Linked DNA regions of Notamacropus eugenii. The protein of the gene in region 1 purifies or fractionates together with the protein of each later gene. This does not show direct contact. Links are inferred from orthologs where the notes say so. Each region holds a gene or a part of one and is shown in the gene's direction. Other genes may lie near its edges.

What was found.
Region 2: the proteins of SOX2 (region 1) and XRCC1 purify together in Homo sapiens (affinity purification with mass spectrometry; 3 studies listed by BioGRID and IntAct, with this or other methods). This does not show direct contact. The link is inferred for Notamacropus eugenii from reciprocal best matches to the Homo sapiens genes SOX2 and XRCC1.
Region 3: the proteins of SOX2 (region 1) and DNAJA2 purify together in Homo sapiens (affinity purification with mass spectrometry; 3 studies listed by BioGRID and IntAct, with this or other methods). This does not show direct contact. The link is inferred for Notamacropus eugenii from reciprocal best matches to the Homo sapiens genes SOX2 and DNAJA2.
Region 4: the proteins of SOX2 (region 1) and BAG2 purify together in Homo sapiens (affinity purification with mass spectrometry; 3 studies listed by BioGRID and IntAct, with this or other methods). This does not show direct contact. The link is inferred for Notamacropus eugenii from reciprocal best matches to the Homo sapiens genes SOX2 and BAG2.

The regions. Positions count from the first base shown.
Region 1 is NC_092877.1:342,641,508-342,648,630, reverse strand, and holds SOX2 (transcription factor SOX-2), read left to right. Parts: upstream 1-4,108; 5' UTR 4,109-4,685; coding exon 4,686-5,735; 3' UTR 5,736-6,960; downstream 6,961-7,123. UniProt on the Homo sapiens protein: Transcription factor that forms a trimeric complex with OCT4 on DNA and controls the expression of a number of genes involved in embryonic development such as YES1, FGF4, UTF1 and ZFP206. Binds to the proximal enhancer region of NANOG.
Region 2 is NC_092876.1:25,377,875-25,384,771, forward strand, and holds the start of XRCC1 (DNA repair protein XRCC1), read left to right. Parts: upstream 1-3,880; 5' UTR 3,881-4,059; coding exon 4,060-4,110; intron 4,111-4,167; exon of another isoform or gene 4,168-4,257; intron 4,258-6,897. UniProt on the Homo sapiens protein: Scaffold protein involved in DNA single-strand break repair by mediating the assembly of DNA break repair protein complexes. Negatively regulates ADP-ribosyltransferase activity of PARP1 during base-excision repair in order to prevent excessive PARP1 activity.
Region 3 is NC_092872.1:461,624,308-461,631,771, reverse strand, and holds the start of DNAJA2 (dnaJ homolog subfamily A member 2), read left to right. Parts: upstream 1-4,461; 5' UTR 4,462-4,649; coding exon 4,650-4,727; intron 4,728-6,561; coding exon 6,562-6,621; intron 6,622-7,464. UniProt on the Homo sapiens protein: Co-chaperone of Hsc70. Stimulates ATP hydrolysis and the folding of unfolded proteins mediated by HSPA1A/B (in vitro).
Region 4 is NC_092873.1:125,380,275-125,387,911, forward strand, and holds the start of BAG2 (BAG family molecular chaperone regulator 2), read left to right. Parts: upstream 1-4,620; 5' UTR 4,621-4,664; coding exon 4,665-4,868; intron 4,869-5,084; coding exon 5,085-5,218; intron 5,219-7,637. UniProt on the Homo sapiens protein: Co-chaperone for HSP70 and HSC70 chaperone proteins. Acts as a nucleotide-exchange factor (NEF) promoting the release of ADP from the HSP70 and HSC70 proteins thereby triggering client/substrate protein release.

The DNA.
Region 1 (7,123 bases):
AAACTCTGCTAATTAGCAATGCTGAGAAATTCCAGTTAACAAGGACATTCTCCTAGACTGCGGGTTCCCTGCCGCTCGCCTTCATTTCCATAAGAAGATTAAGAGTGGAGGGGAGCGCTCTCAGATGCAGATGCAGAAACGAAGCGTCTCTTAACGAGCATCGTAATAGTAAGATGCTAGGCTAGTTCTCACCTAATTACCGCAAGTTAAACCTCTATTTGCCGCTAGGGAGAAAAAAATAGGTCTGCGGTTCTTTCGACGAACAAAATTGTTTGATAGCTTTAGATGTGTTACTGCTGGGATGGGGGGGGGGGGGGGGGGGGAGGGTGCAGGAGAAGGGAGTGGACACGCAGAAATAAATAAACTTAAATTAAAAAGTTAGATTTCCACTTACCACAGGAAGTTGTTTCTTTGGGGGATTCTAAAGGGCTTTTACCTAGGGCCGATCCCAGAACTGAAGGAAGACAAAATATTCCAGGAGCTTCTTCCCCGCCCTCTCCTACACCCCAACCTTTTAAACTAATCTATCAATAAAAGTATGGAAGAGTTATTTCCCGTCCTTTGGGAGGAAGAGGGGGAGGGGGAAGGGAAGGAAAGAAGGAATATTTCTATCCTGTTTCCTACACGCATTTTTCCGTTTCCATAAATTATACCAAAGACAACATGAAAAAGAGTCCTGAACGAAGAGCCCTGTCTTAAGTCTCATTCTCTTCCTGAGGAGTGCGTGGAGGGTGGTTATTAGCGATGCAGCAGGCTAACAGGAAGGACTGTGGGACTGGGGCGCTTGCTCCAGCGTGTGGGGTTGGAGGTTAGGAGTATTTAGGGCTGAGTGATGGCCGTGAGTTTCAATGGTGTGGCCAGGGATTCGATTTCGTAAATATACATGTCGTCAGAAATCTACTGGGAAAAGGGGTTTCCGCGCCCTCAGTGGCTCCTGATTTTCCTGAGCACATTATTCTCACGCCTGAATGCCAGCGACAGTTAGTTGTACTGCGCGGATAAGTCAAACGCGCTTAATTAAAACAAAGCTGAAAATAAATGCAGCCAATGAGGACCCAATTGTGACGCATTTTCTCCCCCGCTCATTTATGTGATCAACGCAATTAGCTGAGGCCGAAGCCAGCCCCTTTCACCTCTTAAATGCATTATTATAGAGTTCAGGCATAAATGCATGCAATCTGGTTATCAGAGGTGGGGGTGGGAAGGAATCTTCCGGCTGTCTCAGTTGAGCGAGCCCCAACTCCCTATTGCCCATCCCGAGAAGACCGGACAAATGCACTCGGGTCTCCACGGGCACCAGTTATCAATTTCTAGCAATAAACCAACCCCCACCCATGGCTACCCCCACGGCAACCTACCTCCGGCCCAAACTTAATTAAGCTGCGAGATTAGAGGAGGGAGGGGAAGAAAGGACCCGGGGGTGGGGGAATGATGTGATCAAGCGCACACACCCAGAAGAAGAGGCGCCCCTAATTTTCACCCTCCCTAATTTTAGCCCAAGGATTAGACAGGCGTTAAGTAGTTGAGTAAATTGAATCAGACTCTTACACGCCTCTGAGGGACACACACCAATCTGTTGATAAAAATTACTTGTAATTAATTTTGCTTCTCACCACCCCACCCATCCCTCCTTCTTTAGGGAGAAGATGAAGATTGCCTAACGTTTTTTTCTTTTTAAAATGAAAAGCGCGATTCTTGGGGAAAACTCGCGCCAGTAGGGGGCGCACCAATCCCGTCCCTGAAACCCGTGGCGCAGAAAAGCCTGTGGCAGCCACCTCGGGCAGGGCTCCAGCTCCAGCTCCTGGCTCCTGCAGCCCCTCCCTGCGGCCCCGACCGCCCCCCCCCCCACCTCACCCCCACCTCCGCCTCCAACCTCCCTAATCATTCTTCCCATCCTCCTTGGCCTGGTCTCTGGGCGCGTTGGGGCACCTCTCATTCCATTGTAAAGCAGACAGTCCCGGGGGTCCCACATCCCCCTCCCCCTTTCAAAGGAGCCCAGGCTTTATAACTAAGACCCAAACTTTAGAAAATAAGTTGGAAGTATTGCCCCCACCCACTTTCTTTGAAGAGATAGGGGGGCTAAATTTAGAGGAATTCTGAAAGTGCCCCCCACACACATCGATTTCATGACTTACGCCTCCCCCCCCTCCCCACAATTTTCCAAGTTAGTTTACGAGAGAAGAGTACAGAGCGGGGCGGGAGGGGGTGGGGGGGTGTAATGATGGAAGGGGAGCCGCGACTTCTCTTCCTCCACAGTAATTCGGACTTATGCTGAGTGAATTAATGCAATAAAGGGAACGTGGCCGGGGAGCTAGCGATCGGTACATTTGCCTACCAGTGAAGGGCGGAGGACCGAGGGGAGTAGGGTAGGGTGTTAAAGGAGAAAAAAATAAATAACCCTGATGGTTTAAGTCCTTTATAAGCCACAAATAGCATGAGGTTGCTGCTTCTTTTTTTCTTTTGTAGTCAAGTGCATTTTAGCCACAAAGATCGCAACAAGAGAGTGGAAGGAAACTTAGACCGGGCTTTGTTTGCCTGCGTGTAGTGACAACAACAGAAACAAAACTACCTATTTGTAACGGACGTGCTCCCATTTCTCTACGCATTGAGCTCCTACCTATTGAAATCTTTACATCGGGACAATGGGAGAGCGGCTAAAATTACCCTCCTGGGTCCGCGGCGAGCAAGATTCCCGAGACCCTCCAGTCCAGTCCCCCTCCCACCTACCCCCTCCCTTCTCGTCCTGTCTCTTCTCCACTCCTTCCTCCCTTCCCCCCTTCCAGGTTTTTTGTCCAGAGCCTGCTCCCTCCCCTCTCCTGACCCTGAATGGGTCTGGCAGACCTCACCCCACCCTGACCTCTCGGCCCCGGGGAGCCCAGTCCCAAGCGCACTGCTGAGCCAAAAGAAGGTGGGGAGTGTAGTGCAGACTTTGGGGGGAGTGAGCGACGGGGACAAAAGGAAAGGGTGATAAAGTTTGGCTTGTGGGAACTGTGTTGGAGGCGCTTAAAAACCATAGCACGTTAGAACTTGGGAGTTGTGTTCTGTCTGATCTCAGGTCCGAGTCTGAACTGACGGCACGTTCATCCAGCTCCTTTCTTCCTCTTCTTGTTTCCTTCTTTCTGTCTCCCTCTTCTTTCCCTCCTCCTTCGTTTATTAGAGTTATGCTTCTCTCATTCCTTATTTGAAAGGGACACTGAAATTCTTCTGATAGGCTTAAGAGAAAGGAGGGAAGAGGAGGAGAATGAGGAATATAGGGCTAGGGTTTGTGGCTTTTTTTTTTTTTGCTTTTCCTCACGGTTTGAATGGATTAAGGATTGGGAGGGTGGGGGTGGGGCGGGGCCATAGCCAGGGGAAGGGGGGTTAGGGCGAAGTAGGAGCAGGAGGAGAATGAATTAGATATGAGATACCTACAATTTCTTGATAACAAAGCCTATATAGGAAGAAAAGTGGTGTCCCGGCAACGAGGGATGGATGCATTGGCCTGAAACTTGACAGGAATGAGCTTACAAATATTTTCTAAACATGGAAGGAAAGTGAGAGCGAAGATGGTCTCGGGACTACTACTTTTCCAACTTCTTTGCAGAAACCACAGTGAGATGAAAAATACCAGAGAGGAAAGCAAGCTAAAGGGACAAATTGGACCTTCGTGTGGGGGTGGGGATGATGGAGGAGGAGAACCTGTAGCCCGGTGGGCCTGGCAGCTAATTCCGTAGTTCTAGGTAAAGTGCCTAGGGGAGGGGAAAGAACAAGGGTGGGCACACCAAATCTCTATGACCCTTTTTGGAAATACTAATGGGAGACTTAGATTAAGAGGCCCCTGCACCCCATCACTACTCAATCTCCTCCTTCGTCCAACCCTCAACTCCCCAAAATCAATACCAAGTTTGAGGGGGGAAAAGCCCAAGGCGGCCACAGTGCTGTTCACCCTCTTCCTCCGAAAAGGCGTGTGGTGTGACCTGTTGCAGCGAGAGGGATACAAAGGTTTCTTAGTGGCTGGCTGGCTGGCGGTGGGACCCGCCTCCCCCTCCCCCAGGGCCGCCGAAGGCTCCGCGGCGCGGAAAGCCCCGCCCCCTTTCATGCAAAACCAGCCGGAGAGGCTTGTCCTGTGTGGAGGAGCCCGAGCGCGCTGATTGGTCCGGGAAAACCCATTTATTCCCTGACAGCCCCCATCACATGGATGGTTGTCTATTAACTTGTTCAAAAAAGTCTCAGGAGTTGTCAAGGCGGAGAGGAGAGTGTTTGCAAAAGGGGGGAAAGTAGTTTGCTGCCTCTTTAAGACTCGGAGGAGAGAGAACAAGCGAGAAGAGAAGGAGAGCGAGAAAGAAAGAGAGGAAGAGAGAGAGGGGGAGAGAGAAAGAAGTTTTGAGCCCCGGGCTCAAAGGAGCGTTTCACCCAAATAATAATAACAATAATAGCGGCGGCGGCGGCAGCAGAAATCGAAGCCAGTGGAGGAGTTTTTCTTCCTGATCTTGCTTCCAGTTCGTCTTCTTGCTCTGCGTTTTTAATCGCTCCTCATCTTATTTTTCTGGAGACGCGCGCTCCCGACCCCCCCACCCTTCTCCTCCCCTCCTCCCCTCCCCCCGCCCTCGGGCCCCCCGAAAAGTCTCGCCGGCCAGTCCGGGACGCCCGAGGCCGGCCCGGGGAGGTCGGGGGCCCGCGGAGCGCGCGATCCAGGAAGCAGCGCGATGTACAACATGCTGGAGACCGACCTCAAGCCTCCCGGCCCGCAGCAAACTTCGGGGGGCGGCGGTGGCGGTGGCGGCGGCGGTGGCGGCGGCGGCGGCCCTAACTCCACGTCGGCGGGCGGCACGAACCAGAAGAACAGCCCGGATCGCGTAAAGCGGCCCATGAACGCCTTCATGGTGTGGTCCCGCGGGCAGCGGCGCAAGATGGCCCAGGAGAACCCCAAGATGCACAACTCGGAGATCAGCAAGCGGCTGGGCGCCGAGTGGAAGCTGCTGTCCGAGGCCGAGAAGCGGCCCTTCATCGACGAGGCCAAGCGGCTGCGCGCCTTGCACATGAAGGAGCACCCGGACTACAAGTACCGGCCGCGCCGGAAAACCAAGACGCTGCTCAAGAAGGACAAATACACGCTGCCCGGCGGCCTGCTGGCTCCCGGCGGCAACAGCATGGGCGGCGGCGTCGGCGTCGGGGCCGGCGGCCTGGGTGGCGGCGTCAACCAGCGCATGGACAGCTACGCGCACATGAACGGCTGGAGCAACGGCGGCTACGGCATGATGCAGGAGCAGCTGGGCTACCCTCAGCACCCGGGGCTCAACGCGCACAACGCGGCGGCCGCAGCAGCTGCAGCGGCCGCGGCCGCCCAGATGCAACCCATGCACCGCTACGACGTGAGCGCCTTGCAGTACAACTCCATGACGAGCTCGCAGACTTACATGAACGGCTCGCCCACCTACAGCAGCATGGCGTACTCGCAGCAGGCCGCCCCCGGCGGCGGCGCTGGCGGAGGCGGTGGCGGCGCCATGGCCCTGGGCTCCATGGGCTCCGTGGTCAAGTCAGAGGCCAGCTCCAGCCCCCCCGTGGTCACCTCGTCGTCGCACTCCAGGGCGCCCTGCCAGGCCGGGGACCTGCGGGACATGATCAGCATGTACCTGCCCGGCGCCGAGGTGCCCGAGCCCTCGGCGCCCAGCAGACTTCACATGTCCCAGCACTACCAGGGCGCGCCGGTGCCGGGCACGGCCATCAACGGTACGCTGCCCCTGTCGCACATGTAAGCCCCGGAGCCCGGCAGGGCAGGAACATTTTTTTTAAGGAAAAGGAAAAAAAAGACACAAAGAGACTGTATGGCATAGAGAAGGGGGCCCACCGCACCACGGGATGGGAGGGGGGGGAAATTCCCCACCATCTACAGCAATGACAACTGCGAAGAGGAACTTAGATACACACACGCACACACACACACACACACACACACACACACACACACACAACACAACAAAACAAAAACCCAACAGCCACGGCAACACCAAGAAGAAAACTTTTATTGAGAGATTCCGGACTTCTTTTTGGGGGGGACTATTTTTGTACAGAGAACTTGGGGGAGGGGGAGACAAGGGGGGCCTTGTATAGATCTCTGAAGGGAAGAAAACTACACAAAACTTTTTAAAAAGTTCTAGCGTGGACGGTAGGAGCTTTGCAGAAAGTTTGCAAAAGTCTTTACCCATAATATTTAGAGCTAGTCTCCAGGTGACGACGAAAAAAATGTTTTAATATTTGCAAGCAACTTTTGTACAGTATTTATCGATATAAACATGGCAATCAAAATGTCCATTGTTTCTAATCTGAAAATTTGCCAATATTTTTCAAGAGTCTTCTTGCAGAATTTCCGATCACTGCAACTGGGATTTGGGGCAGTTGCAAACAAGAGAGGAGGGAATTAATTTCAATTTGGACATTTTAATTGTTTAGAAATTGTACAAAAGGAGAAAAAATTTAGGATACTTGCAAAAAACCATTTCCGTGCTTTTCTATAAAAGGGCAAACGTTTAGGTTGTACTCATTTTTTTTACTTATTGTTAAGAAGGAAAAAAAAGCAAAAGCTGGCCCCTCCACACAGGCTGCCATGGCTGATAATTTATAATAGCATTTATTTCCAAACTTTTCATTCTGTTTCAATTTGAACACAAATTAAAAAAAAAACAAAAACAAAAAACCCAGCAAGAGCGACCTGAAATTACTGTGTTTGAAATATTTTCTTATGGTTTGTAATATTTCTGTAAATTTATTGTGATATTTACGGTTTTTTTTTCCTCCCTCATTTTTGGTAGTTGTATTTTAAAAACTCGGCTGACTCTGTGTTTCTTTAAACCAGTCTGCCGAGAGTCCATGTACATATATTTGAACTAATCCCGTCCTTATAACAGGTACATTTTCAACTTAAGTTTTTATTCCATTATGCACAGTTTGAGATAATAAATTTTTGAAATATGGACACTGAAATTCCATTTGCGTCTTGGATTTCTTTGGAGAAGACAATGGCGTTGCTTGGAAGTACTTGGGGGTACTAAAATGCCAGGCTCCTTAGAGTGGTCTTAGCAAAAAGAAAAATAACAAAATAGACTCGAGGTGTCCACTGCCGGGCACCAGGTCTAAAAATGCAAAA
Region 2 (6,897 bases), on another chromosome or scaffold:
AGTGGCAGGGGGAAGGGCCAGCCCAATCCCTGCCCCTCCCCCCAGTCTGGTCCCAGTTACCAAGATAACCTTAGAGGATCCTGGGACCCATACTCCTTCCCTCCTCCCTGTCCTTGGTCCATCTTCTACCATACAGGATGGCAAAGCTTGGGGGGAAGAGGCTAGTGTTGGGAGGAGTCAAAGTCCCAGGGTCCCTCCTTCTCTTTTGCCCAGTTTTCTTAATGACTCACACCCTACCCTGCCCAGCTTCTCCAACCAGCTTTCCCTTGCCCAGCTTGTCCCTACACGTTGATGTGGGGGCCAGGATGTCTGGGTCCTTCCACCCCCAAGACCTGCTCACACTCCTGTCTTTATGTGCAGAGTTCTTTACCTGCTGCCCCCAGACTTGACCCCTCCCCGTGATGGGGCAGGGTACAAGTCCCTGGGGGAGGGTGGGGACAGGGGGAGCCCCTAGTCACTTCATAGAATCCTCCATTGTCAGAGCTGGAAGGGACCTTGTAAGATGGAATGGCAGAGAACCTTAGAACCTGGAATGTCAGAGCTGGGAGGACCCTTAAAGGTATAACCTCCTCATGCTCTAGATGGAGAAACTGAGATTAATCTCAGTAGATTCCTTCCTGTCTCAAGGCCTCAGTTTTTCCATTTGTTGGAGAGATGGAGTCTAAAATCCCTACCAGCTCAAAATCTACAATCTCATAATTAAGATGGCAACCCAAACTGGGGAATCCTATGTTCTGATGATTTCCCATTCACATACTGCCATTGCCCTGAGCAAATCACATTCTCTCCTTCCTCTGTACCTGTAAAATGGGATCATTGATGCTTACCTCATGGAGCTGTTTCAAAAGAGCTTGTAAGCTTGGAGAGACTGAAGTGACTGGGAGTTCTTTGTCTCCCATAGCACACACCCCCTCCCCCAGGTGTCTGAAAACAGGTGGGGAAAGGGAGGTTGTAACATGCTGGGGAAAGGGGCCACTCACACATGGAGGAACACCTGAGAGCTGAAAGGCTGGTGAAAACCAGAGAATTTGCCATCAATGGATGGGAATTTTGTGCCCTGCCTCAGTTTTCATCATATGGCCAGAGCCAAGAGCAGCAGCAGATTTTCAAGTGATTCATCAGGCCAAGGAACAGGGGCATGACTCAAGTTTTGTTCCACAGAGGGCATCTTGCTCTTGAAAAAGTGGCAGAAGTTGGATGTTAGGTCACTGTAAACCTTGGACCAAAACTCTGGATTTACACAGCCTGGGTTTGAGCTTGGGGGTGGGGGTGGGGAGTTGGTTCATGCTGTCCACCTCTACTCCCTCCAGGTTCATTCTGGGAAATCTCAGAATATACTTCCTGGCTAGGGTTCCACAGATGTGTATAAAAGGGTCTCTCAAATCCTTTACAAGCACTCAAGGTAGCAATACATTTACAGGAGATGCAAGACAGCCTTCATTTCATTCAGTCTGTCAAACAACCAACTATATGCCAGGCATCAAACTAAGTACTGAGGATACAAAAAGAGGGAAAAGACAGTCCCTACCCTCAAGGAGGGCAGGAGACATACAGTCTAATTGGGGGGGGGTCAACCTAAAAAGGAACATACAGAGCAAATGATATACAGATAAATAGTAAAGAATCAACAGAGAGAAGGCACTGGGAGTAAGAGGGGTTCTATAGAAGGTGGGATTTTGGTTGGGACTTCAAGCCTGAGAGGTCAGTTGGAGTGGAAAGGGGCTCAGTATCAGTGGATTGAAGGGTACACGTGGAGGGGTAAGATGTAAGAGGACTGGAAAGGTAGGAAGGGCCAGGTTATGAAGGGCTTTCAACCGCAAACAATGCATTTTGTATCTTATCCTAGAGGTAATAGGGAACCACTTGAGCAGGGGAGGGACATTACTGAATCTGTGATTTAAGAAAATCATGTTAGTGGCTGAAGGGAGGACAGGCTAGAGCAGGGAGAGATTCTAAGCAGACCACCTTCCACCCCAGCAGTAATAGTCCAAAAGTGAGGTAATGAAGGTCTACACCGCTGTGACAGCGTAAGATGAAAGGAGGTATATTTCACCCCCACAGATAATGCAGAATTCAAAAATTAATAGCCAACATAAATATAGTGCCAGGCACTTTACCAATATTATCTCATTTGATCCTCACAACAACCCTGGGGGGCAAGTGCTATTATTAGCTCCATTTCACACATGTGAAAACTGAGGCAGTCAGAGCTGAAGTGATTTGCCCAGGGTCTGAGGTTGGATTTGAACTTAGGTCTTCCAGACTCAGCGCTCTAAGCACCGTGGAGTCTCTTTATTCTAAGGTCTGAGTCGTCTCCAGAACGGGAACCATTTCCAGGCAGGGGAGTCGGGGCAATGCCCGGAAATTCTGATGACTGTTTTCCTCGGCAGAGATACCTAGGCCTCGCGCAAGAGGAAAACACACCTGAGGCGAGCCCCGCCCCCAGCCCCACCTACTTAACCCACGCTACCCTGATAGCTGGGTCACCTGTGGCTGTTCCCCGGACTCCCGCGAGCCCTGTCCATGGTGCCCTTCTTTTCTCTACAGCTTATTCCTCGTCTTTTGACGGCTCAGACACCCAAGGACCCCCTCATCTTCCCAAACTTGAGCTCACACAAGGCAGCTCCCAAGACCGGTGTTCCCCAGGACCACCTCCACCCCGATGGTAGCTTTCAGGCTGGATTCTGGAATCAGCCCCCGTCCTAGTTATGGTTGAGGTCGGGTGTAAAAAGAATCTCCGAGAAAGACTTTTTTTTAGCTTAAAAAAAAAAAAGCAAATAGCAAAGATTCAAAACAGTTAAAGGAAGCGCTCGGTGGGGTCTGGGGTGCCCGCAGGAGGTGGGGGAGGGGTTTGCACCCGAGGGGCGAGTTCGATCCGCGTTATTGACATCTGCTCCCTCATTTAAGGGCTCAAGCCGCGACGTGCAGCCTTGGTCCATTTCCAGGGTGAACAGTTGGCCCCAGAGGGGGTCATTGCGCGCCCCCTCCTCCAGGAAGCTCCTCCTGATCTGCCCCCCAGAATTACTTTGTATGTATTGATCTATGTACAAGCTGCACCCCCATCCACAAAACCTCCCCAAGGGTAGAGTTCAGGGGGCGGTGAATGGTAAATTAATAGCTGGGCCTGTAAATAGTCTGTCGTCAGAGGGCACCCTTCACAAAACCAGGTCTAGCTCTGGGTGGGGAGGTACTGGGTTCTAGTTATGCCCTTTGCTGTGTGACCTCAGGTAAGTCGCTGCCCCTCTCTGGGCTCGAATCCGATGACGTAGGCTCAGCTTCAGATGCCTGGGCTGGATCTGAGGCTGCCTGGGTTTAATGGGGCTCGGAACGGGTCTGCATGGCCCCGCCCACTCCACACCTGCAAGGGCTCCTCCAAAACTAAACTGGGCTGAGCTGGGGTGCAGCAAAGCACTGGGATCCTTCGACTTGGGCAGCGAGGAGGAGGCGCCCTCGGACCACGCCACCCAATGGGAAAAGAGAACAGGGATGCAGTGACCAATAAGAATGGGCTCCAAGCCCAGGAGGCGGGAAATGAGGGAGATGGGCGGTAAGCTCCTGGGGGCGGGTCGGCGAGAGGAAGGGCTAATTAGGTCATACAAAAGGGGTGGAGCCAGGGGAAGGCGGCCATAGAGAGACTGGGCTAGAGCGGGGTGTCGGAGGGGGCGGGGCCGGGGAGAGGAGAGGCAAGAGGAGCGGATAGAGAGGCCAGGAACAAAGGCTGGCTATTGGAGGGACAGCCCAAGGAAAGGTGGAATTGGGGCGTCAGTCCGGTCATGGGGCGGGCTTAGAGCAAGGACGGGTCATAGAGAGCGAAGCCTAGAGTGGCCACGGGCGGGGGGAGGTGGAGGGGGGACGGAACCGGCCGGGGAAACAGTGGAGCAGGGCCAGTGCGCCTGCGCGGCTGCGGGGAGCGCGCTCCCGACTTTGAACAGGCCCGGGAGTCCGCGCGCCTGCGCACTAGTGCTGCCCTGAAAGAGCGGCCTCTTCCTTCCCAGGCTGCGGCCTGGTCCAGAAGCCTTGGATTCTGAAGTCTCATCGTTCCTGGCCCCCAGACCCACCATGCCCGAGATCCGCCTCCGCCACGTTGTGTCGTGCAGCAGCCAGGATCCGGTGAGAGAATCGGAGGAGGGGGAGGAGGCATAGGTCTCTGCGGACTTCCGGTTACGGAGGCCCGGCGGGAGGGACTTCCGGTTATCTAGGGGACTCCAGGAGTGTCTGTAGGGGCCACCTGGGATTGTCTAGCGAAGGCAGTTGGAGGTGTCTGGAGGAAGCGCCTTGGGTGTTTGTGGGGGGGAGGGGCGTCTAGAGGAAATACCTGAAGGCGTCTATGAGGGTGTCCATAGGAGGCACCTGGGGGTGTCTGTGGGGGTGTCTATAGGAGGCACCTGGGGGTGTCTGTGGGGGTGTCCAGAGGAGCCCCTGGGGGTGTCTAGGGTCGTATCCATAGGAGGCACTTGGGAATGTCTGGGGGGGTATCTCTAGGAGGCACCTGGGGGTGTCTAGAGGAGTATCCATAGGAGGCACTTGGGAATGTCTGTGGGGGTATCTCTAGGAGGCACCTGGAGGTGTCTAGAGGAGTATCCATAGGAGGCACCTGGAGGTGTCTAGAGGAGTCCCTGGGGGTGTCTAGAGGAGTATCCATAGGAGGCACCTGGGGGTGTCTAGAGGAGCCCCTGGGGGTGTCTAGAGGAGTATCCATGGGAGGCACTTGGGAATGTCTGTGGGGATATCTATAGGAGGCACCTGGAGGTGTCTAGAAGAAGCACCTCAGATATCTATGGGGATGTCTAGAGGAAGCCCCTGGAGGCATTTATGAGGGTGTCTGTAGGAGCCCCTGGGGGTGTTTATGGGGGGCACCTCAGATGTCTATGGGGTCAGCCTGGGAATGTCAGTGGGAAGCCCCTAGGCTTTCTATGGGATGGCTTTGGGGTCTACCTGGGGGTGTATACATGACATTTATCATGTCTGTGAGGGTTCCAGGAATGTCTGTAGGGGACTTTGAGGGTCTAATGGGGCACTTAAGTCCTTGCTATGGACAGAGGATATGGTACATCAATAGAATCTTCAGGAATGACTTTATTACGGGAGGCTCTAGGGGTGTCCATAGGGGATACTGAGGACGTCAGGAATGTCTCACCAAAGGGGTTAGTAGCAGACATCTCTGAATATCCATGGGAGGTTCAAGGAGGCCTGGGGGCCTCTGCCGGTGTCTGTGGGCACCCTCTCCCCTCTAGAAGGTGATGATCACAAAGAGCCAGCTTTCCAGGACAGACCAGAGGTTTGCTAGGTGCAAACCAGAGTCTACCTAGATTTGGGTGAAGCCTCCACTGTCTTTGCCATGTTGTGGACAAGGTGGAGAGTAGTGTCCTCACTCACCTGGAGCAGCTTCAGAAGGGGCTGAGTGGTCACCCCCAGTGGGTGGTCTTGAAGGCACTGTGGCACCCTGGGGGAGCCCCAGAATAGGTACTCTTTCAATATTGCATTAATGACTTTGGTCAAGAATTGGCTGGCATTGTTGATTGTCAGGGCAGATGATGCAGGGCTAGGAGAGACGGTTAACAACAGCCATCAGGAGGGACTCAGAGAGTTCCTGGGGGCAAGACTGTGGGCTGAATCTAAGGGTGACATTGTCCAGGGGTCTGTCAGGTCCTGCCCATTTCTTCCATGCCAGGCAGGGATGCAAATGCAAAGAATGATCCATCCCTCCTCTTGAGCAGCTTATGCTGTAGTGGACATGTAGTTTGTCTTTACAGAATAAATATAAATAGGGAGACACTTGAAGCCATGTGTGGGTCCCAGAGGACCTAAGCTGGGCGGCAGCTTTTCTGAACACTCTGATAGAAAAGTTCCTAGCATCCTTGGAAGCCAAGAAAGCAAATGTGATGATCTTGGCCCAGTGCACAGGAGGACTGGGCAGGGCTAGGGGTGGGGGTGGGGGGCAGTGTAGGGGGTCCTGCTGCCCTCTGGCCTGATATCATTGTCTTCAGGATGGTGGTTAGTTCTTGGCACCCCAGCCAAGGAAGGACATAGATGAGTGTCTACTAGGAGGCAGCCAGGAGGCTGAATTGGAGGAGAGATGACCTGTCCAGGGGTCTTTGAAAGCTATCTCTAGACCCGTTTAACCCCTGGGGCAGAATAGGAGTTGCCAGGATGGGCATTTCCACTTCCTGACCGCTGAAGGTAGTAAGAGGACCGGCTGACCCAGAGGGTGGGGAGCTTCTGAAGGGAAGCTGGATGGATGACCACAGCTACTTGTTGGCCCCATGAGGCCAGGACATTCCTGCTCAGGCAGCTCCTGCTACCCCTTCAGAACTTGGGGATTCTATGATGGTGGGCTGGGGCAGTGGCATCTCTTGGGGATTATCAGAGGGAGCAGGGGAGTCGTGGAATATCTTGGTGATGTGTCTGACACTGAGGGGCCCTGCCGTGAGTGTTTCATGGGGTCTGGATGTTTGGGGATAGGGGAGCAGAGGGTGGCTCTGGAGGTATCTGTAAGGGATACCTTGGAGGGCGAGCTGAGGTTATCTGTAAGAGCCATCATAGGATTCCATTAGGAGATATCTGAGGGAGAATGCTGAAACTCTCTGGGAGGGTGGGGTCCAAGATTGTTCCTGGAGGATTTCTGAGCTGGCTCTAGGGACCCCTGAGACTCTGACCAGGATACATCTAGGGACATCTGTCAGGGCTGCTTAGTGCAGACATCTGTTAATTGGGAGGGGGCTTTTGGTTGTTTATAGGGGACACAAAGGTATTTGTATAGTCCGGGGGAACTTTATGAGTTATCTGTAGGGACAAATAGAAATAGTTATCACTTGGAGCTTCTTAGGTTTTGAGACTATCTCGAGGTGCCATCTTGGGGCGTCCCAAGGGAACATCTAGGACTCTCTAGGGGAACTC
Region 3 (7,464 bases), on another chromosome or scaffold:
TTTAAAGCAATTTACAACCTGGCCCCAATATACGTTTCCAACTCTATGACTTCCACTTTCCCACTTTACAATCCAGTCAAACTGGCCTTCTTGATGTTCCTCCCATAATATTCTATTTCTAGTGTCTGTGTTTGTGCTGCATAGCCCCCACACCTGGAATGCAGTCCCTCCTCACCTTTACCTCCTTAAAGACTCGGTTCAAGCAATACCTATATGAAACTTTTTTTGATCCCCTTCTTCCCCACTCCCTTCGCCCTTCCATCACCATGTCAAGTGCCCTCTCCTAAAAAACTTACTTTATATGTATTTTGTGTATGCTACCTTAAGTGCATGTCTCTCCTGATAGGCTATCAGTGCCTTGAAAATAGGGTCTGTCCATTTTGGTCTTTGTATCTATCCTCAGAGCCTAAGGGCAGCTAATTGGGAGAACAGGTAGAGTGCTGAGCTTACAGTCAGGAAAACTGAGTTCAAATCTTACCTTAGACATTTACTAGCTGTGTGACCCTGGTCAAGTTGCTTGACCCTGTTTTCCTCCATTTCCTCAACTGTAAAACGAACTGAAAAAGGAAATGACAAGCCACTCCAGTATCTTTGCTGAAAAAACCCCCAACAGAATCATGCAGAGTGGAACATGACTGAAATAACTGAAGAAACAAATCCTCAGAGCCCAGCACAGTGCCTAGTACATATTGGGTGTTAATGGTTGATTATAAATAATTCTACCATCAGGATTCTTCAAAGTTAACTCCTTCTAGTTGGAAAGGCTGTTTGGTATTCAAAGACCTTCCTATCGGACCCCTCCTATCTTTATTATCTTCTAATACCTTACTCCCTGACCCATGCCTGCCCCAGGTATATACTTTGACTTCCTGGCTGTTCCACAAACTGGACACTCCATCTCTCAGCACCAGGCATATTCTCTGACTGTTCCCCATGCCTGAAATGCTCTCCCTCCTCCACTCTGACAACTAACCTCTCCGTCTTCTTATAATAAGAAGCCTTTCCCAACCTTTCTTAATTCAAGTGCCTTCCCTCTCTCTTAATTATTTCCTATTAGTCTTCTCTATAGCTTGCTTTATATTTGTTTGCATGTTGATTCCCTATTTAGACTATAAGCTTGAGGACAGGGACTCTCTTTTGACTCTTTGTATACCCACAGTACATATTGTTGTTCAGTCGTTTTCAGTTGCATTCAACTCTTTGTGACCCCATTTGGGGTTTTCTTGGCAAAGACACTGGAATGGTTTGCCATTTCCTTCTCCAAACAGGGTTAAGTGACCTGCCCAGGGTCAAACACCTAGTAGGTGCCTGAGGTCAGATTTGAACTCAGAAACGTGTCTTCTATCCACTGTGCCACGTAGGTGCCCTCCTGGCACATAACAGGCTCAGTGACGGACTCCTTGAAAGGAAATGTGAACTTTTCTTTAGAATGAATCAAGTTATTTTAAAATCAAACTACTAAAGATAAACAACATTCAGACTTGGAGAATGATATAGGGAAAAACAATGTGATCTCTTAAAAGTTGAAAGATCAATTAACTCTTCCTAAGGCATTTTCAACTTTGTCATATCACCTTTGCAAACAAGAAGGCTGACATAAATTTTTCATAGACTTGATCTTAAATTTACAGACTGATATTTTCCTTCTTACTTCAAGATTCTAAGAATCTATGATTTTATGGGTATTCTTTCAATGAGTGAATCAGAACCAATATATTACAACCCTTCACACTTTAGTGTCTTAGTTTCTGTGGCCAGCACTTTCAGACAGGTTTTATTAAGATTAATAATATTTTACAGGAAAAAAATTCATTCTCAAACAGCTACCTAACATACTCTTCAAGTTGAGTATTGGTACAACAAAAAAGCTTCTTCATTTGTATTTAGAAAATTGGTTAGGATCATAAATCTAACACTTTAATAAGAGTTGATGAAGCATGCACTATTCATTGCCCTGAAAAGGGAAACAGATATGACATCTTCTATTAGAAATAAAAGAGTTTTTTAGAACTTAATGACTATAAGAAGTTAGTTTACAGTTTAATCTTTGGTCAAATTTAGCAACTGCAACATAAAGAAACTCAATCATTATCATTACCTACTATTTTCACATTCTTTCTCTGAATTGGCATTGACAAAAGTAACTTCTGCTGCAATGCCAGTTCAGTGTGGCCAAGAGAGAAAAGAAGTATATTCTTCTGTCTTTCCCATTCAGGGTAGAAAACACAGCCTTGGATCAATAGTGTTGCCATACAGCAGACAAAATTAGGACCTCTTCTATACTGCATTTTAAAAATCCTAATTGAAACAACTTATATATATATAAATATATAAATACATATACAAATTTATGAATATATAAAAATATAAAAGTTATATAAATAACTATATATTGCTTTAAGATTTGCAAAGCTCTACACATAAATTATTTCATTTGATAAATGTAAATAGCTACATACTAGCATAGTATTTAAAAAATACTAGCTTGGGGTTTTCTTGGCAGATGCTGGAATGGTGTGCCATTTCCTTCTCCTCATTTTACAGATAAGTAACTGAGGCAAGCAGGGTTAAGATAAATACAGACTTAGAAGATAAACATTAACAGCTAGATATTAGCATAGTACTTAAAAAATATTAGCTAATTAACTAGCTCTTGCGTAAATAAGTGGCTTTATCATAGGATTAGATAGGTAGGTAGGTAGGCAGGCAAAGGGAAAAAAAAGAGAAGAGAGAACACACACAGCTAGGCATCACAGTGGATAAAACCCCTGGACCTAGTCAGGAGAACCTGAGTTCAAATCTAGCTCCAGAGATTAGCTGTGTGATACTAGATAAACGCCTCCGTTTCCTTGTCCTTATCTCAGAATTGTTGCTGAAATGAAAAAAGCATTATTTCCAGTTCAGGACTAATTGGGAGCAGGTATATAGAATTCCTTTAAGCAACTAAATATTTCAACACCAAATGCTTCAGGACTAAACTTATATAAGCAAACATTTTGCAAATGCTGCAGTATCCTTCCTTTTCCTTCCCATTCCCATCCCCTAAATAAATACATAAAGAAATGAAGCAACAAAATAAACCTGGCAGAAATTTGAAATGACTCTGAACTTGAACTTTCAATCACTTGCAGTCCTCAGCTGCACTGTGACTCAGCGTTTTACAATGCCAGAAGCGAAGTGAGATAAAGGGCTTTCTTTTTAATGGCACCGGCTAAATCTGGAGCTTCAGAGCTTGCGGCACCTCAAGACAAAAGGTAGAGAGTGGAAAAGGTTGAGTGGTTACAGCACCAAGGGCTCTGACTTTCCTACGTGGTAGAAAACAGGCAGCATGGATCTAACTGAAGTGGAATGAGTGTCTTGTAATTCCAAGGGAGACAAAGCTGGCTTCAATTTCCTAAAACAAAGATTATTGGCATGTTATTCACAAATAACCAAGCAGCTTACAACGAAAACAAAGGGAAAAGCTACATTCCTCTAACCACCCTAAAGTTAGGAACATGTTTCAGAGTCAGGAAACCAACACTTGAAGAGTTGAGAAAGTCAATTTCCTCATCCTCTTTCTTAATGCAAGTAAAACGGGGTCACCATGGGGGGAGCGGGGGTGTCTTTCAAAAACTGAATAAAACTAAGTCCAATAGGAAAAAAAACCCAATCTGAAAGGTAGCGAGAAAGAGACGGAAGCTCGTTTTGCCCGAAGGTCCTGGGAACAAGCCATCCAGAGGCAGAGGGAGATGAAGGAGGGCAGAAGAACGGGAGGCGGTAGGTAAAGCTTAAGGGGGGGAGGGGGAAACAAAGGGTTCGGGGTGACAAAGGACTAGGGTAACCCCAACTAGATAATGAAACAGGGGCTTCCCGTAAGGCAGGAGGTGGGCCCAACAGTCATCAGGGTGGAGACGGGGCAGCGAATAAACAGAAGCAGTCCATGACAGCAGGAGGTCGGGCAGCACAAGGGGGGCATGGACTGGGGCAATCCGGAAGTCCGAGGTTCAAGTCCCGCCTTTCACACAAACTGTGGGACCATGGCAACGAACTCTCTGGGACCACGAGTAGTGGGAGAGCTGCCACGCATAAATCACAGGTCTGAAAGACGGTGAAGCTGAGGGGCATCCCTAAGACACCTTTCAGCCGTTAAAAAACACGGAAGGATTCTGTTGGGGGTCAAACCTTGCCCTTCTCTGAGCCTCAGTTTCCCTATCTGTAAGTCGAGAGATCAGGCCAGGACGCGTGACCGAGAGGATAACCAAGTTTGAGGGGAGCTCTAAAATCATTCTCAAGTTTTTCCCAGTATTTTCCTCGCACCACCAAGAAACAAACAAAACCCAGAAACCTGCCGGATACTTTTGACTTCTAGTCCAGAGGAGCCAGCGCCCCAACACGAGCCGGTGTCCCCTCCCCGCCCCCCGCAGCTGCCCCCTCCAACCGCCGGTCCCAACCACCTCCTGGAGGGGAGGGGCTCGACTGCGCCGCCGCGTCCGGCACCGAGGGGGCGGGGCTGGCTCCCGACGTTATACGTGAGGTCGGAGTTCAGCTCCTCCTCTTCCCTCCTCTACCTCCTCTCGCTTCTCCTTCTCCTCAGCCGTCGCCGCTGCCGCCTCTCCAGGGCCCGGGTTCGCCGCCGCTTTCTGCCGTCTCCCGCCCTCTGCCCTGCGATGGCGAACGTGGCTGATACGAAGCTCTACGACATCCTCGGGGTCCCTCCAGGCGCCAGCGAGAACGAGCTGAAGAAGGTAGCGGCATGCGCGGGCGGTGCGGCGCGGGCCGGCCGGCCGGCGGGCGAGCGGGGCGGCGCGGGGCCAGGACCTGGGCTCGGGCCCAGGCGCGGGGCAGGTTTAGGGCTGGGCAGCCCTGGCGGGGAGAGCGGCCCGGCGGCTCGAGGGGCTGTACGGCGTCCGGAGCTTGAGACCGCGCCGGGGCCTGCCGGGGAAAGCGGAGCTGGCCTGGCTGGGGCCCACATGCGGCGCCCCGGCTTCGGCCTCCAGGCGGCTCCCTTCCTCCTCCGGCTTCCTGCCGCCGCCGCCGCACCGGTGCCTCCCCCCACCCCCGCCCCCCCGGATCCTGCTCATCCCACTGACCTTGGGAGCAGCGATGCCGGGCGGAAATGGAGGCCGGGGCTCCCCGGGGAGCTGTCCTGGGGCCTCCCGCTCGGTTTTTCAGGCAGTACCTTCCCCTAAACGAGCAACACCCCCGAGGCCCGGGCACTGAAACCTCCGCCCTGTGGCCGCCCCGAGAGCCGCCCCACCTCCCTCGCATCCCGGTGCCGAGGTCACCACCCCTGGAAGAACAGGTTGAACCCACGCACCTGGGTGCATCCTCGGCCCGGCCTTTACCCCCTCCTTACTAAAGCAGCCACCGATAAAAGGGGTGTGTGCCTGGGACGAGGGAGGACGCTGGTTGGGAAAGGATGTTTCCCCTGTGTCATCAGCTAAAAGCTTCTCCTCCGCCGGGCCCTCTCTGCTCGTGGTCCCAAGGGCTGCGGACTAAGGGGGAAAGGCTGCTGGCATCACCTGGCCCCCGGGCTCCTGCTGACATTGGAGCAGCTGGGAATGAGGCGAGAACTGCTTCCGTGGGCGATGTTGCTGCTCCGTAACATGCAGTGCCTCATCGGCATGGGTGATTAAACTGGGGTGTAGCACATGGGCACGTTGGGGTGCATTGTTGTGAAGCCTGGTCATTCCAATTGTCGGTTCTGCTGGGATGAAACTGGCACTTCGTCTGAAGTAAACACTTGAAGCCCTCGCCAAAAAAAAAAAAAAAAAATGGAAGACCTCGTTACTTGTAGTAGTGCAGTCTATCATCTGAGAATTTCAGAGCACTTTAGATATTTAATTAATCCTCACCGCATCCTTCAGATGTTGCATCAAAATTTGTGGGCTGGCTGAAATGGAATTGCCCTAGGCGATGAGGCTGAGGGACTGCTGGGAGTAAAATCTCTGAAAATGGGCTTCCTGTCACCTTACCGGAAGTGATTTACTATTATATAATTCATTTCTCTGCGTGAAGGCTTTAGTCATTAACCATATAGTTTAACATGTATTTCCAAATCTACCAAGCCAAAGATCACGACATGATTTAATTACCCAGAGCATTCCTGTATGAAAATGAGTTGTAAGCCTATAGTAGTTTCATTTTGCCCTGTTCCTGGTATGGGGGATGCGGAGGGGCATCTACTAGAGCTTATTTACGATCTGTTCTGAATATTCATTAACTATTAGTACTTATGTAGATTACTAGAAACTTTTTCCTCTTGTTTCTTTTCAATAAAGCACCCAGGAGTAAGTGAGAGACTGAAACAATGTTCCATTATATTTTCTTCTCTCTATTTGTATCTCAATTTTTAAAAACTCTTCAACCGTGATTGTAACTGGGGAATGTTATGGTTACATAAACAAATGATATTAAAACTGGAGTTAATTTAAATAAGTATCCTGGCGGAAAAAAGGTACGTATTTAGGATATAAGCTTAGTGAATTTTTTTACTTAAAATTCTTCCTCAAAAAAAGTGCAAGTTAAAATAGTTTTAACTGTTTTTGTGAGTAATTTTTTTGTTATCCTTTCTCTAAGGCTTATAGAAAGTTGGCCAAGGAATACCATCCTGATAAGAATCCAAATGCAGGGGACAAAGTAAGTTTTAGATATTTGAGATTTTGTGTTTAGCTTTCAAACTTAGATAGTTGTATTCCTTTTGAAAATAAATATTTTCTTATTTTAACAAAGTCAGGTCTCGTTGGCTTAAAGAATAATGTAAGTTGTATAGTAAAAACATTTTTAAAAGAGCTGAAGGAGATAAGACTAGAAATAATTAATCTGAAAAACTGCAGCTTCTATTTCTTTAGACTCTAAATCTGTTTGTAGGCTACTGTGTACATAAATGACTCATGGGGTTTCCCTTCATCGTCATCATAAAGTAAATGTCCCTGTCATTAAGGGCATTTACAGTCTATTTGGGGAGATGCAGAATAATAGCAAATATAAAATAATGCATAAATACATAAGAATTGCAAGTAAAGGGACCTATTAGGTCTGAGTTGTGGTGAAGGTGATTACTGAAGGAAAGGAATTATGAAGTTTTCCTTAAGTAATTCAGTGGATAGGGAAAGACAGTTCCTAAAATGAAAAGCAACACAAACTGAAGTATAGAAAGAGATATCATAGTGTAATGGAAAGACTTGGATGTCTTACCTCTAGTGAGTCACTTAAGTTTTCTGGGCCTTAGTTTCCTCATGTAAGATAACAGGCTTGGATCAAATGACTTAGATTATTTCCACTTCTGCGTGTTATAAATTTTGATTAACAATATTTGGATACACTGCAGCAGGTTTTTAATTAGAGATTGATTGCTATACCGCCTCTGTCAGTGTGTGGTTAGACAGACTTTAATGTTAGCCAAAGCAGAATATAATGGAGTCATTTTGCTGAAGTGGGAAAATACAAAACAAAATTTAAAAATTTTTAGCATTAATCCTT
Region 4 (7,637 bases), on another chromosome or scaffold:
GTGCATATATCCAATCCAGTAAGCATTTACTAAGTACCCATGATGTACCAGATATTGTGATGTGTTGGGGACACAATAAAAAGACAATCCCTGCCATCGATGAGCTTATAACCTAAAGGATGAAGATATGTGTGTGTGTGTATACATACACACATATATACGTTGTGTGTGTGTTTTCTCCAGTATTTCCTAAAGTCCATGATTTTATTGGTGTAATACTCCTTGCATTGATCTAGAACATAACTCTTCTTTGCTTTTGGAAAATCAACAAAACAAAATAGAGATTCCAAAAATAAAACCAAGTATATACATGAGTTTAGTATTTGCTAAGTTTCTGTAAAACTGAAAAAAAGTTATAAATATTTTAAAAAACTCAATAGTATATCTACATATACACATATACATGCCCTCCATCACCTGGAGTATTGAGTTTAGTTCTGCACCACCATTTAAGAAGGACTGTTTTAAGCTAAAGAGTATCTAGAAGGAGGCACCAGTGTGGTAAAGAATCAAAGATATGAGGATTGGGGGAGATTTTTTTCAAATATTTGAAGAGCTGTCATGTGGGAGAGGGATTGGATTGGTTCTCTTTAGCCCCTGGTAGCCAAAACGGGAGCAATAGGCAGGAAATTTCAGAGACAAATTTTTCCTTGATGTCAAAAAAAAAAAAAGTTCCTAACAGCAGAGCTTATCTGCTCTGCCTCAAGAGGTGGACAGTTCCCCCTCCTTGGAGGTCTTCAATTAGAGGGTGGATGATCACTTGTCAGGTATATTTTAGTGGAGATTCCTTTTGAATATGAGTTGGATTCAAGCATGTGCTGGATCCAGTTGGCTCTTCAAAGCCAATTGTTAAATTTTTAGTGGGAGCGTTTTCACCTCAGAAATCTGCAAATTCTTCAAATCAGAGCTTGATTTATTATTTTGTTGATTGTCAAGATTTATGAAAGTGATGGAGAAATTGTTAATAATGCAGATTAAACTTTAAAATGTGATCTCCATATATTTTTTCTTCCGGTAGCCAGTTGTTAAATATTTACCAGGGCATTCCTAGTTGGACTGGAATAGATAGCTGCTAACTACATATGACTACAACAAAGTAAACAGAACACAACAAGAAAAAATTAAAACTGAATGTTATGTGATTATAATGATCAAATGGTACAAAAGAAGAGATATGAAAATGCACACACACGTACACACACCCTTCTTTACAAAAATTGAAGGTTAAGGTTATGGAGTATCACATACAGTTGGACTAAAGTGATCTATTGGTTAATTATGTTGAACTTTTTTTTATTCTTTGTTAAAAAGAATGGTTCTCTGGGTGAAAAAAAGGGAGGGATATTAGGAGATGAAGGTGATACAAAAAGAAAAGTTATCAATAAAGTTTTTTTTTTTTACAGCAAAACAACTAAACCTTTCACACTCTTTGGCCCAACAATCACACTTTTGGGAATATACTCTCACAGAATCGAAAGGCAGAAATGAAATTTCAATATGTAACAAAATATTCATAGCAAAATTCTTTGGTAGCCAAGAACTAGAAACAAAATGGGTCTTCTTAGACTGTTAAGTAGCTAAGATAACAACAATTCTAAGTCATATGAGTACAATGGAAAATTATTGTACAGTAAGAAATGATGACTGAAGAATTCAGAGAAAAATGGGAAAACTTGTAAGAACTGAAACAGAACAAAATATGCAGAACCTACAAAAATGCAAATCAACCAATAATTAAAAAGAAGCTGAACTTTGAGCAAGAGAAAAGCCACTGAAGGTACCAGAGAAGATATAATGAATTATACGTCCTCACTGTAGAGAAATAGGGGACCACTAGGAAAGAATAGGATATGCGATGCCAGAAAGAGGTCTCTACAAGAGGTTTTTGATTATTTTTCTTTTGTACAAGGGAAGGTTCAATATAGAAGGAGTATGAGAAATGGCTAATGTAATGACAAAAGGCATAAGTAAAATGTATATTAAAATATAAGAATAAAAAAATAATAGATTGAGGAAAAGGATCATGGTCAACATAACAGATTAAAAACAATACCTAAATTTTATAAATTTATAAAACTGTTAAAATTCAATATCTAGTGAATAATCAATGGGAATAAGATGATTTTTAAGAGGAAATACAAATGGTAAGTAATCACTTAATGTTTAATCTCACTAATAAAAAAATACACTCCAACAATTTTGAGGTACCATCCCAATCTCAAACTGACAAAGTAACAATACAAGACTGGTTCAACTGTGTAGAGAAGTATATTCATACGTTACTGATGGAATTTCAAATGTTGATACTTCAGCCTCTTGAGAAGTAATCCAGCATTATGCCATGGGAGTTATTAAAAAAATCACATTCTGATTTAATATTCTCTTTATTGGGAAAACAGAATATTATCAAAAAGAAAAGTGAGCTGTTAGTTCAAATACATCTATTGCAGCATTATTTATAATTGTGAAAATTGACAAAAATCTAAATGTCAAAGGGGAAATGATTTAATAGATTGCTATGTCAATGTAATATAATGCATCATGCAATTAAAATGAGTAAGTCTGAAGAATACAAATATAGAAAGATGAAATAATGTGTAAGTTAAGAACAGTATATACTTAGATTATATATAACCAAAAAATGTATAAAGAGAAATAATAAAGAATAGATAAAAGGGACAATAAGAAGGAAAAGGAATTGGCATTTACATGGTGCCTATAGTGTCTCAAGTATCGTGCTAAGTACTTTAACAAATATCTCATTTGATCTTCACAACAATCCTTCAAAGCAGGTACTATTATTATCCCCATTTTACAGTAGAGAAAACTGAGGCAAACAGTGATTAAGTGACTTGCTCAAGGTCATATAGTTAGTAATTATCTGAAGTTGGATTTCCATTCAGATCTGTTCTGACTCCAGGCCAGAGCTCTATCCACTGTATCACCAAACTGCCTCCAAAGGGCATACATGTATTCTTAACAAAACCAGGTGGGCCACAGGGAGAAACTGGTGTGGACATTTTGTTTGTTGAACGGTATTTTTTTTTTTTTGGCATTAATGGTCATAAAACTACGTTTTAATTGATTCTGTTGATATTTGAGGTTAAGTTCATAATAAATAATGAAAAAAAGGAAAGGGCCAATATGCGAAGCTTTTGTTTCATTAAGCAGAGAAACTTCTATGGCTAGTCCATAGGCTATCTGAATTTTGTTGAGATAACATGACACATTGTTGGATATTCGAGACAAGTCCTAAGGCATCTCCATTAAACTATGTTAGCTACAACACTTATTTGTATTATTTTTCTTATTAGGAAGAATTAGTAATTAAAATTACTTCAGTGAGAATGAATGGAACTGAAGCAGATCCTCAATACTGAAGTTTACAAAACCAGTGGATTAAGGGAACCTTAGAGAGTTTTTCATATTTCCCCCCTCTTTTCACTCCCACCCTTCTCAGGGCCCCAGGCCTGATATTCTGGCACCAGTGTTCACCTCTGGGAATTAGAGAACAGAAAAATTCCAGTGGCAGGTAAGTTGTAATCAAGTCAGTAGCCTTTATTAAGGGCTTTACACCATTCTAGTCAGGGCAGTTAGGTGGCTCATCGGAGAGAGTTTGTGACATAGAGGAGTCAGGTAGACTCCCGTTTCTGAGTTCCAATAAGGCCTCCGACACTAACTAGTTGCATGACCCTACGTAAGTCACTTGATCCTTTTTGCCTCGGTTTCTTATCTTTAAAATGAGCTGAAGAATTCATTTTAATTCTTCCATGCAACATGACTAAGGTGAAAATGTATTTAATAAGAATGTATGTGTAGAACCTATATAAGATTGTCTCCTGGAGAGAGAAAGGAGGGGGAAGGTGGAAAAGGGAGGGGGAAAAAGCTAAGATATATATGGAAGGGATTGTAGAAAACTGAGAACAAATTAATTAATAAAAAAATAAAATAAAATGAACTGGAGAAGGACATGGCAAACCACTCAAGTATCTTTGCTAGAAAACCCCAAATGGGTTCACAAAGAGTCAGACATGACTGAACAACTTGTTCTGGTCACTGTGCTAAACGTTGGGGATGCAAAGAAAACCACCAACACGCCCTCTGCTAGCAAGGAGCTCACATTCTAGCCGGGGTGACCACATACAACTTTTTTCATTCCAGATGGACAGTGGAGCCTGAGAAAGGCCTTCTGGGGTAGGCGGGATGGGAGCTGAGTTCTAAAGGAAGCCGGGAAGCACAGGTGAGAAGTGGAGGTTCCGAGTATTGGGGAGAGGGGAGTGGAGAGAAGGGGATGGGGCAGCTAACGAAAATAGACAATACAGTATTGTTTTGGAAATATTTCTAGCCTTTTACTGCCATCGCTTCACGCCTTTTTCCCAGCCTTAAGTCAGATAATATAAGATGAAATTATCTTTTCCTTGTTATTGATTTAGGAGCACTTAAGGGTCCTATACGATTATTTAACTCTTTAAACTTCCGATGGGTCTCAGATCTCCTCCCTTTGGGGAGTTAGTTTCGTGAAGACTCTGGAAGCATGGGGAACTGACTGTCCGAGGTGCTTAAGTTCATGCCACAGCTCTGAGTGGCTTATTTAAATCTTTGGTCTTTCCAACAGCCCTGTTACATTTCCCCTTGAACCCCAGACAGCCCCGAAGGTGATTTCCATGGAGTTTTCACGCGAGGAGAACAGCCCCCTGAATTCAGCCCACTGCCATGCCCACTGGAAGGAGACCATCCCAGCTTGGCAGCTGTCACGTCCTCCCACCTCCTTGGCTGGCCCCTGGGCCTCCCACCCGTGCCCTTCCCAGGGGCAGGCACGCTGCCTCCTCCCCCACGCAGAACCCCGCGGGGCCGGCTGGGGTATGGAGGTGAGTGGCGGAGGGGGCGGGGGGCACCGGCCGGCCGGGCTCCGTGTCCTTCTTTGGCCATGTTGCCCGCGGCCTCTCATTGTAGGCGTCAGAGGGAGGAGGTGTCCGGAGCTGCCACTAGCGCGCGGCTGCCCGGGGGGGCAGGAGGGAGGGAGGAGGACAGCAGGGAGGTGGCACCACCGCAGTCGCGTAATCCCTTCCTCCTCCTTCCTGCAGCCACCGCTGCCGAGCTGCCCCATGGCTCAGGCGAAGATCAACGCGAAAGCCAACGAGGGCAGGTTCTGCCGCTCCTCCTCCATGGCCGACCGCTCCAGCCGCCTGCTCGAGAGCCTGGACCAGCTGGAGCTCAGGTGAGCCGGCCGGGGGGGCCCGCGTGCCCACGGCTCCCGTCCCGTGCCCGCGCTGCCCGCTGGCCGCCCCGGAGCCCCCCGGGCCGGAGCTGGAGCCAGCCTGCCCCCGTGGCAGGGGGCGGTTTGGGGGACGCTGGCACCTTTAGAGAGAGGGCACACTTTGGGGAAGGAGAGAGAGACGGGGTGGGGGCCGGAGGAGAACCAAGTGGAGCATCTCTGGCACTGTTTTGCCCTTTGGGGGTCCATCTCCATAATGGGGCGGTGTGGCGTAGTGAATAGAGAGCCGACTTCCAGGGCAGCAAGACTTGGGTTCGAGTCCTGCCCCTGAAGCACTTGCGACCCGTACAGTCTTGGTGCGTGTTGCCCCCGCCGTTAGAACGTGTGTTCCTTTAGGGCAGGAACCATGTAGATTTTTGTCTTTTTGCCATTCTGTGTATCCTCGGCGCTTAGCACAGTGCCTGGCACGAAATAAGCGCCTGATAAGTCCAAGCTTGCTGACCGACTCCCAGAAATCCCCCAGCCTCATTGCTTTATGCAGCTCACTAAGACTATTTCGCCACATTCGTGAAATCAGATTGGTCAGGAACCGAAACTGAGGTTTGCAACAGTGGGATCTCTTGGTGTGGAAATGTTACCCCTGCTGCCCCATTCCCTCATGAAGACATACAACTCAGGTACTCAAGAGGGGCACTGAGAGATAAAATGGTTTTTGTCTGTGGATTTAAACCCAGATTTTCCGGGCTCCAAGGCCAACCCTGTATCTTGTATGCTACTGTCTTGGTGAAATGCTTATGCCAGATAAAATCTGGGTAACTTCATTGTTTGAGCATTCTTTAGGGTGGTTTGGCCACTTTTACAGTCCCATTCCCATGATCCTTTTGGACATCTGAATGTGGTATTTAGAAAAAAAAACAGATGGCAAAATCTACTGTGACATCATCTGACTGATTATAGGTTTCAACATCTGATTTTGAAGTGCTCTTTTAATGTCTTTTATATTCACTTGGTTGCTGCTCTTTCTTCTTTAGTGGAGTTTATACATAGTCACTGATACAGGGTGTCCCAAAAGTTTTAGGGCAGTTGTAATCTTTTTAAGAGCTTAGCACTGCTCTAAATTTTTGTAACACCCTGTAGATTGGTCACTAAAGGTTTATTCACTCCAAAGAGAAGGTTATCCAAAAAAGCATGTTGAGTAGCTTCCACTGGGACTAGTTAACAATGTGTGGAGAGAATAAACTGATTAATGCTACTTTTCTCATGCTAGCGTAGCACCACTTTGTACTATTTGGGCCTTTTATTCATAATCTGCCATTCTGGCCTGCTGTTGTAGAGTTATTCACAAGGGTTTGATGTTTGTGTGTCTGTTTACTTTTCTAGTGACTGTAGCCTTCTCTAACACTTAGGAATAGATTTGTACAAAAATTTTAAACTGTTAGCTAGTAACAGTGTTTTCTATAAGAAAATAATGTATATTTATCATAATGTCCTTGGTGATTTTTTTTAAGCTTTTATGGCATAAACTTTAATCATAAGCAGTTATAGCTAAACTAAAATTCCTTTAATATATATTTACTTTTTATTTATAAAACAAGATAAAGTATACATAAAATGCTGTGCAGATCTTAAAGTACTAAAAATGTAAGCTATTTTTAAAGCAACAGTAACATTTGCATAGCAGTGTGCAAGGTTTGCAAAACACTTTGCATACATTATGTTATTTGATTCTCACAATTATCCTGTAAAGTAGGTGCTATTATTATTCCCTTTACAGATGTGGAAACTGAGGCAGAGTGAGGCTGACTTGGCCAGGGTCATATAACTAATATCTGAGGCAGGATTTGAAACTAGGTCTTCCTTCTTGCAGCTGAGCCGCACAGCAGATAGAAATGCTGGGCCTGGAATCAGGAAGACCTGACTTCAAATTTGTGCTGACACTATCCACTTTTGTAGCCCTGGGCAAATCTCTATAGTGGCTTCAGTTTTATGCTGTAAAATGAAAATATTAATAGCGCTTACCTTGCTGGGGTACTTAGCACTGTGCCTGACATGCAGTAGGTGCTACATAAATGTTTATCCCCTTCCTGACTCCAAAGTCCAACACCATCCGTTGTGCCATTGAGCTGCCTACTATGTAGCAAGGGATAAATCCTTCATTTATAAAAAGATGTATAGGATTAATGAATATGTTCTCCTAGAAACTGAGGCTTGTGGCATTGTTAACCTAAGTACCAATGAGCCAGAAAGGGAGAGGAACCGATTTTCTATTCTCAATTTTAATGGCAATGGCAGAAACTACTATTTCTAGGTCTTTACCTTTCTTCCATCTTTGCTCAGGATAAAACCCAGGAGGAATTGAAAATTCATGAGAATGAACACAATAAATATAGGCTTAGTTAACAGCTTTCTACTGGAGGTTCTA